Saccharomyces cerevisiae S288C: one gene and its partner. The gene in region 1 interacts genetically with each later gene. Each region holds a gene or a part of one and is shown on either strand. Other genes may lie near its edges. The genes, in order: SAP1 and YKL033W-A.

The links.
Region 2: mutations in SAP1 (region 1) and YKL033W-A together harm fitness more than expected from each alone (negative genetic interaction), as found in Saccharomyces cerevisiae (2 studies listed by BioGRID).

What each region holds. Positions count from the first base shown.
Region 1 is NC_001137.3:243,211-248,651, reverse strand, and holds SAP1 (putative AAA family ATPase SAP1), read left to right. Parts: upstream 1-2,148; coding exon 2,149-4,842; downstream 4,843-5,441. Other genes in the region: CAJ1 (Caj1p), read left to right, coding at 495-1,670; SPO73 (Spo73p), read right to left, coding at 5,041-5,441.
Region 2 is NC_001143.9:372,773-376,032, forward strand, and holds YKL033W-A (haloacid dehalogenase superfamily protein), read left to right. Parts: upstream 1-1,732; coding exon 1,733-2,443; downstream 2,444-3,260. Other genes in the region: ubiquitin-protein ligase TUL1, read left to right, coding at 1-1,333; TTI1 (Tti1p), read left to right, coding at 2,684-3,260. UniProt on the Saccharomyces cerevisiae protein: Nucleotidase with XMP as the best in vitro substrate. Low catalytic efficiencies of YKL033W-A observed with XMP and other substrates suggest that these could be secondary activities for this protein, and its primary substrate is not yet identified.

The DNA of each region.
Region 1 (5,441 bases):
TGCGAATTGATACCCTTATTACATAATTTTTTGATGCTCATCAGTATCAACAAATAGAATATAGCAAACGGAATTACCGGACATTCTAACATTTCCTGGAGAATATCTGCTAGAGTCAAATCAAATGATGAAGACTTTCGGTTAGCGTTTCAGAAATAAACAATGATGATTAATCCAAAAAATTTCGTATTTGAGAAGTAAGACAGTGAATCGAAGTGGTTCTCCTATGGATTGTTTTAGACCCTGGGAACGTCACTGCGGTGTTTTCGCCCGTCATACCAAGATGGGGCGGAGAACGGAAAATTTGATGGCGAATGTACACTGCCAAGGACAAACAGGGACGATAAAGTGTTAAAGTGGTGATATAGTCGGATCCGCGGTTAGCCGTAACCATTGCTTTCCAATGGTTTACGCCTGTAAAAAGAGCAACTTAGATAATTGTCGGCTTCACGTAATTAAGACGTATTAACTCAAAGGAAAAGAAAAGAGGGAATATGGTAAAGGAGACGGAGTATTATGATATTTTGGGCATCAAGCCTGAGGCCACGCCCACTGAAATCAAAAAGGCCTATCGTAGAAAGGCTATGGAAACACATCCGGACAAGCATCCTGATGACCCAGATGCTCAAGCAAAGTTTCAAGCCGTAGGCGAGGCCTACCAAGTCTTAAGTGATCCAGGGCTTCGTTCCAAGTATGACCAGTTTGGTAAGGAGGATGCTGTTCCTCAGCAAGGATTTGAAGATGCTTCTGAATACTTTACAGCAATATTCGGTGGTGATGGCTTCAAAGATTGGATTGGAGAATTTTCTTTGTTCAAAGAGCTAAACGAGGCAACAGAAATGTTTGGAAAGGAAGATGAGGAGGGTACAGCAGCCACTGAAACCGAAAAAGCAGATGAGAGCACTGATGGTGGAATGGTTAAGCATGACACTAATAAAGCTGAATCTTTGAAAAAAGATAAATTATCGAAGGAGCAAAGAGAGAAGCTAATGGAAATGGAGAAAAAAAGACGGGAAGATATGATGAAACAAGTCGACGAGTTGGCAGAAAAACTGAACGAAAAAATCTCTAGGTACTTAATTGCTGTGAAGTCCAATAACTTGGAGGAATTTACGCGAAAACTAGATCAAGAAATCGAGGATTTGAAATTAGAAAGTTTTGGTCTAGAGTTATTGTATTTATTGGCCAGGGTTTACAAGACAAAAGCGAATAATTTTATCATGTCCAAGAAGACTTACGGAATTTCTAAAATATTCACTGGTACACGCGACAATGCTAGATCTGTTAAATCAGCATACAATTTATTGTCTACAGGCTTAGAAGCTCAAAAAGCCATGGAAAAAATGAGTGAAGTCAATACTGACGAACTAGACCAATATGAACGTGCCAAATTTGAGTCCACAATGGCTGGTAAGGCACTTGGTGTCATGTGGGCTATGTCGAAATTTGAACTGGAAAGAAAACTAAAAGACGTTTGCAATAAGATTCTAAACGATAAAAAGGTCCCTTCCAAGGAACGTATTGCAAAGGCAAAAGCAATGCTGTTTATTGCCCACAAGTTTGCCAGTGCTAGAAGGTCACCAGAAGAAGCTGAAGAAGCTAGAGTTTTTGAAGAGCTAATCCTAGGTGAGCAGGAGAAGGAACACAAAAAACATACTGTGGCCAGATAAGCTCAGCAAGTTAATAACGCCTCATGTATATTTTTCATATATAGCGCAATCAATTACAAAGCGAAGAAAAAAAACCCTATGTATTCTAGACATATCACAGGCATACGGGTTTTCTCACACCAACCTTTCAAGTCTTCAGCACTTATGTTTTAACTTATTTTCTATTATTCAGTATATATATGGAATTAACACTGGCAACCCAAGCATCTTAGCCGAGATTCGCGGAGAAAATTGAAATCAAGAATAATAAAAATTCTTGATTCACGGTCATAAGAGGCTGAAGCAACAGCAACCGGCTCCCCAAGAACTACAATACGCGTCCGATATACTTTCTTATCAAATATATTGGTAATAATAAAGGCTGCAGTTCTTTTTTTAATATAGTCTTTTTACATTTATTGCAGCTAACAAACGCAATTTTTCTTTCCCTTTCACTCGTGCGGTTTTACCAGGATTGATTATATCGCACTGTGACACTATGGATTCACAAAGAAGCCATCATATTTTAACGAGATTAACCAAGATACGGAGAAGACCTCAACAACCGTTAACCGACTTTACAGAACTTTACAGTAGAATTGCCAATGAGACAATATATTACTTGAACCTAGAAGAGAAAAAACGATATAAAGAAGCATTGCAAGGATGGAAAGCGCTTACCACTGATGTACTATTCAAACAGACATTGATAGAGCATAACTACCCAAATACTCAATCATACACGAAAGATGAAGTTAGTTTACAGAACGGTATTCGAGAATTGTACCACAAGAGCGTTATGCATTTGAAAAGAGTCAAAAAATTGGTCCGAGAAGAGCCTGCTCCCAGGAATGATATGCCGTCATCCAAAACATACACTAATCATAGCTCATCTTTCACAAGGTCTACTGAACCACCTCCTGTATTCCAAATGGTTCCCGGAAGAATGATGAAAACATTAAGAAATAGAAATGCATGCGGCTATAAAACCGCATACTCCAACCCCTCACTATCATCATATGGTAACAGCACATCGATAAAACGCGGAGAAGATGCGGAGAACATTAGAGTAAATTTTGTACCTTCTAAGCCTTTATCCAACAATGCAAGCAGACAGCACAAGAACCCTATTGAGCACAATGATCCTCCACTTAAGAAGGAAACTGAACTGTACTCAGATAAATATATCTCAGAGCCAATATTGATAGATTTGACTAATGACGAGGATGATCACGATGTCGGCATTTTAAAAGGACACAACGTTTTTGATGAAGAAGAAAGTGATGGTTTCGAGTTTGATGTGTCCGATTACTATGATAATTTCTCCGAAGTCGACGTAGAAGAAGAAGAAGAAGAAAAAGAGGAAAGACGACGTATAAAAACGTTAGAAGCAATTCAACAGCAAATGTCTGACTTGTCTGTTACTTCTTCTACGTCCAGTAATAAGAGTGTAAGTTCTTCAGAAAATGTTCCCGGATCATGCATACAGTCCCTGCCGACTACCGCCCCTGCTCTTCCTTCATTACCTCCACCTCCTTTATTAAATGTCGATAGAGCGTCCAGCACTGGCGCTCTAAAGCCACATAGTTTAGAAACTTCTACTACTATGGATTCATCAAAGATTAGGAATCCTCAAATATCAAAATTAATGAAGAATAATCACGTACCATACTTAAAGGGTACCAAATCAACGCCCACTCTTATCACTAAATCAACGCCAACATTTATTACAAGATCAAAAAGTAATACAAAACCAATCATCAAATCCAATGCATCGTCTCCGACCTCTTCTCTGACTGTTCCAAATTCAGTAATTCAAAAACCCAAAACGGCTGCAATGGCTGCTAAGAGAGTTCTGAACAGCAAAAAGGTTGCGAGTAACCCCGCATTAAACACTACGAAGAAGAGTCACCCCATTTTGAAATCCAAAACGGCGAAAGTCCCAAATTCCAGTTCGAAGAAAACGAGTAGCCATCCTTCCAGACCTGTAAGTAACTCAAAACCATACTCGCATGGTGCATCCCAGAATAAGAAGCCATCGAAAAATCAAACCACGTCTATGAGTAAAACGAATCGAAAAATACCAGCACAAAAAAAAATCGGTTCTCCAAAAATAGAAGATGTTGGAACAGAAGATGCCACTGAACATGCCACTTCCCTAAATGAGCAAAGAGAAGAGCCTGAAATAGACAAGAAAGTCCTGAGGGAGATTTTAGAAGATGAAATTATTGATAGTTTACAAGGTGTAGATAGGCAAGCTGCAAAGCAAATTTTTGCCGAAATCGTAGTGCACGGAGATGAAGTTCATTGGGATGATATTGCTGGTTTAGAAAGTGCAAAATATTCTTTGAAGGAAGCAGTTGTCTATCCGTTTTTGAGACCAGACTTATTCAGGGGGTTACGTGAACCAGTCAGGGGGATGCTCTTATTTGGACCACCAGGTACAGGTAAAACAATGCTAGCGAGAGCTGTAGCTACAGAGTCGCACTCCACCTTTTTCTCTATTAGTGCTTCCAGTTTGACATCTAAATACTTGGGTGAAAGTGAAAAATTAGTGAGGGCACTATTTGCAATTGCCAAAAAATTGTCACCTTCTATAATATTTGTTGATGAAATTGACTCTATCATGGGTAGTAGGAATAACGAAAATGAAAATGAGTCAAGCCGAAGGATAAAGAATGAATTTCTTGTTCAGTGGTCATCCTTGTCCAGCGCAGCGGCTGGTTCAAACAAAAGTAACACTAACAATTCTGACACCAATGGCGACGAAGATGATACAAGGGTACTGGTACTTGCCGCGACAAACTTACCATGGTCTATTGATGAGGCTGCAAGGAGAAGATTTGTGAGAAGACAATATATCCCATTACCAGAGGACCAGACCAGACACGTTCAATTTAAGAAGCTTCTTTCCCATCAAAAGCACACGTTAACCGAATCAGATTTTGATGAACTGGTAAAGATTACTGAGGGCTATTCAGGAAGTGATATAACGTCTTTAGCGAAGGATGCTGCCATGGGCCCACTACGAGATCTGGGTGATAAGTTATTAGAAACAGAGAGGGAGATGATAAGACCCATAGGCCTTGTGGATTTTAAGAACAGTTTAGTGTATATCAAGCCCTCTGTATCCCAGGACGGATTAGTGAAGTACGAAAAGTGGGCTTCACAATTCGGATCATCAGGTTCATGATGATGATAATAATAATAATAATATAATAATAATGGTAATAATAAATAATATTCTAGCCTAGCTGGACAAACTGTGTGCACATAAGCGGATCGATAAAATATGTTCTGCATAATGTCACCTTTTCTTTTTTTTTTTTTTTTTTTTCTTTTTTTTGACTACTTAGTTTGTTAAACAATTTAATATTAGCGTAAACTATTACTAATCTAATCCATGACTGGTCGTAGGTAGTCTTACCCAGACCCTTCTTCTCACCAAGCCATTTTTCGATTTCCACCTAGAGTTATTGAAATTCCAGCTATAACACCATCCTTGATCGTCAATATCGTACTTTTCCTTGTAATCCATCAGTACGAACCACTTTGTCATCTGTGAACTGCTACTGCCTGCAGTGCGTTCAGTACTCAGATCGATAGGATACAGTTCTATGAAGTTCGATATAGTATTTTTCGACAGGGCAATTAACGAGCCATTTTCAGTGTTTAGTCTTTGAAATTGTGGTGGGTCAACGTGAGGCAGTAAAATCTTGGGAGAAAATAGTGGGTAACCAAGTAAAGTTATGCCTCTCTCGTTTTCTATGAGTACGTCCTCCGGTAAAGCAG
Region 2 (3,260 bases), on another chromosome or scaffold:
TAATGCCAACTTTAAATGTGAGTATTTGATTTTTCTTCAGTTGGAACCATGGAATCAGTACACAAGAGATCAGATCAAGTTAATAGATGATGAATTGAATTGGCCCCTGGGGCGTCCGGCAAATCTGTCTAGTTTACCGCCCATAAATGTTGTCTCTGGATTACTGTATTCTCCAGACTGTGGCGTACGATTAGGGCTTCATAACGTAAAGGGTACACGGTACGAATTAAAAATAATGTCGATCAGAAAACATCTATTGTTCGGTATTGCATTATTTGCAGCCCAGATATACTTATTGCTTACTCAGATGCATCATACAAATACCCCCTCCATGGTCAACAAAATCTCATTCTATTGTTTCTCAATGATAAACTTAGTCGATGGTTCCTTGGCCACTTTGTACTTTGTCGCAGCTAGTGTCGTTCCCGAATTGTACTTACCCCTAGTTATAAGTGCTTTTTCGTGCTTTATCTTGGCATCTATTTTTGAAATACGCTACTTAATTTCAATTTACGCTTCACAGGTTAACGAACAGAATGTTGGGATTATCAACCTCCTGCGTGGTAACACTGGCACATATGATGAGAATAGGCCAAGACCCGCATTCATTCCCGATGAAGGGTCTATCGGTGGCTCGTTATATGGTAGGTTTTTCTTTATGCTAATCATTTTCACGTTTTTAATATTGAGTTCAACTTCATGGCCCCGTCAGCTAAGGATGGTATTTGAGTATATCCTAATCTTCATATTAAACTCATATTGGATCCCTCAAATTTTCCGTAACGCCGTTAAAGGTATTCCTTCAAGAAGAGAAAGAGCAAGATCTAGCATTGGAGGAAATAGAAGTCAAAACAAAATGCCATTATTGTGGAGTTTTGTAATTGGTACAACAATAATTAGAAGCTTGCCCGTTGTGTATGTTTTCACTTACTCCTCTAATGTGTTCAGGCACCATAAAGATGTTCATTTCGTCGTATTTTTATCATTGTGGCTACTGTTTCAAATTAGTATACTGTATTCTCAAGATGTATTGGGATCGCGCTGGTTCTTGCCTAAGCACACAATACCTGATGGATATTCGTATTTCAAGCCCCTTTCAAACGAGTATATATCGGAGCATGGTGGTGGAACTGCTGAACATACCGTTGATTGCGCGATATGTATGTCTGATGTTCCAATTTACATAGAGGAAATTCCAGAAACTCATAAGGTGGATCAGCACTCTTACATGGTAACGCCTTGTAATCACGTATTTCATACTTCGTGTCTAGAAAACTGGATGAATTATAAGTTACAATGTCCTGTGTGTAGGTCACCATTACCTCCGTTGTAGATAGCATCTCTTGATCCTAAGAACTATATACTGTATTTGTATTCAAGATCCAAGATACCGTGACATTTCCTATTTGTCAACCATTGCAATAAGAAATTTTACATGAATAGTGCATTAACTTTTTATTACCACTAAAGTAGTTTTGCTTAAATATACAATAGGCAAACTAGACTTAGGATAATTCACAAGGGTTTTTAGTGTTACCCTTTTTCCGTATGACACATTTTTCGAGGAATTAATTATTGGGAAAATATTGCCGATCAAGATCCATTGAGGTGAATCTAAATCGCTCCAACTCCAAGTTGGGGAATCTTAAGACCGTCACTGCCTTCCAATTACACTGCTTTTGTTTCTTTGACAATAAGAACGCAAAAGTAAATTTCTTTTTTTTAACAAATTATGACACATCCTGTAGCAGTGAAGGCATGTCTATTTGACATGGATGGTCTTCTCATCAACACAGAGGATATTTATACTGAAACTTTAAATGAAACTCTCGCAGAATTTGGTAAGGGACCTTTAACTTGGGATGTGAAGATTAAATTGCAAGGGCTTCCGGGACCGGAAGCAGGAAAAAGGGTGATCGAACACTACAAATTACCAATAACTTTAGATGAGTACGACGAAAGAAATGTTGCATTGCAATCTCTTAAATGGGGTACTTGCGAATTTCTTCCCGGTGCATTGAATTTGTTGAAATACTTAAAGTTAAAGAACATTCCTATTGCATTATGTACGTCTTCGAACAAGACTAAATTTCGCGGCAAAACAAGTCATTTAGAGGAAGGTTTTGATCTTTTCGATACCATTGTCACTGGTGATGATCCAAGAATTGCAAAAGGTAGGGGTAAGCCTTTCCCGGACATTTGGCAGTTGGGTTTAAAGGAATTGAATGAGAAGTTTCATACCGATATTAAGCCCGATGAGTGTATAGTGTTCGAAGATGGTATTCCAGGCGTAAAATCAGCCAAGGCATTTGGTGCACACGTTATTTGGGTCCCCCATCCAGAAGCACATGCTGTTTTGGGGGACACAGAAGCTTTGTTAGCCGGTAAAGGTGAACTATTGTCTTCTTTGGAAAAACTGGAAATGTCCAAATATGGACTGTGAATTTCCAGTATTTACGTAAACAATATATTTGTATATTGCACTAAGTATAAAAAGGGATGATTTGTATTTGATTTATCACACTACTTTATGTGGTGAGCTCAGTTATTTTTGTATAATATACTATAGTACATGTTTGGGTTTTTATCGTTTTATTTCAATCTCATTACAATAAAATATTATAGTGAACATGCACATCGAAAGGAAAGATTGCAATAGCTGGTGTTCAAAAGCTTTGTGCAAATGAATTCAGACACGAATGCATTTAAGGACATAAGAATTTCATGTGTTGAACTTTCTAGGATCGCTTTTTTACCCACCGAATCATTTGATCCAAATTCATTAACGCTATTGGCATGTTTAAAAAAAGTTGAAGAGAAGTTATCAGCATACGAAGACGATTCACTTTCGCCAAAATTTGCAGATTATGTTTTTGTTCCTATCGCGAGTTTATTGAAACAGCCAGCTCTCGGCGAGTCTCAAACAGAATACGTCCTACTAATTATATTTCATCTCTTACGGACATGTTGGTCATCTAATGGTAAATTCTCCGAGCAATTGGGACAACAACTGTTCCCCTTAATCACATTTTTAGTCAGTTCTGATAAAGATAATCAAAAATTAATTACTAGATCAGACGAGTTCAAGTACGCTGGTTGTTTAGTCTTGCATCAGTTTTTCAAATCAGTAAGATCGCAAAGGTACCATAAAGAGTTCTTTTCGAACTCAAAACCTAATTTACTTCCCGCTCTAGGACATTCTGTTACCATTCTGTTGAAAATTCTGGAGCAATCGCCCCAAAATAATGAGCTTCAATTCA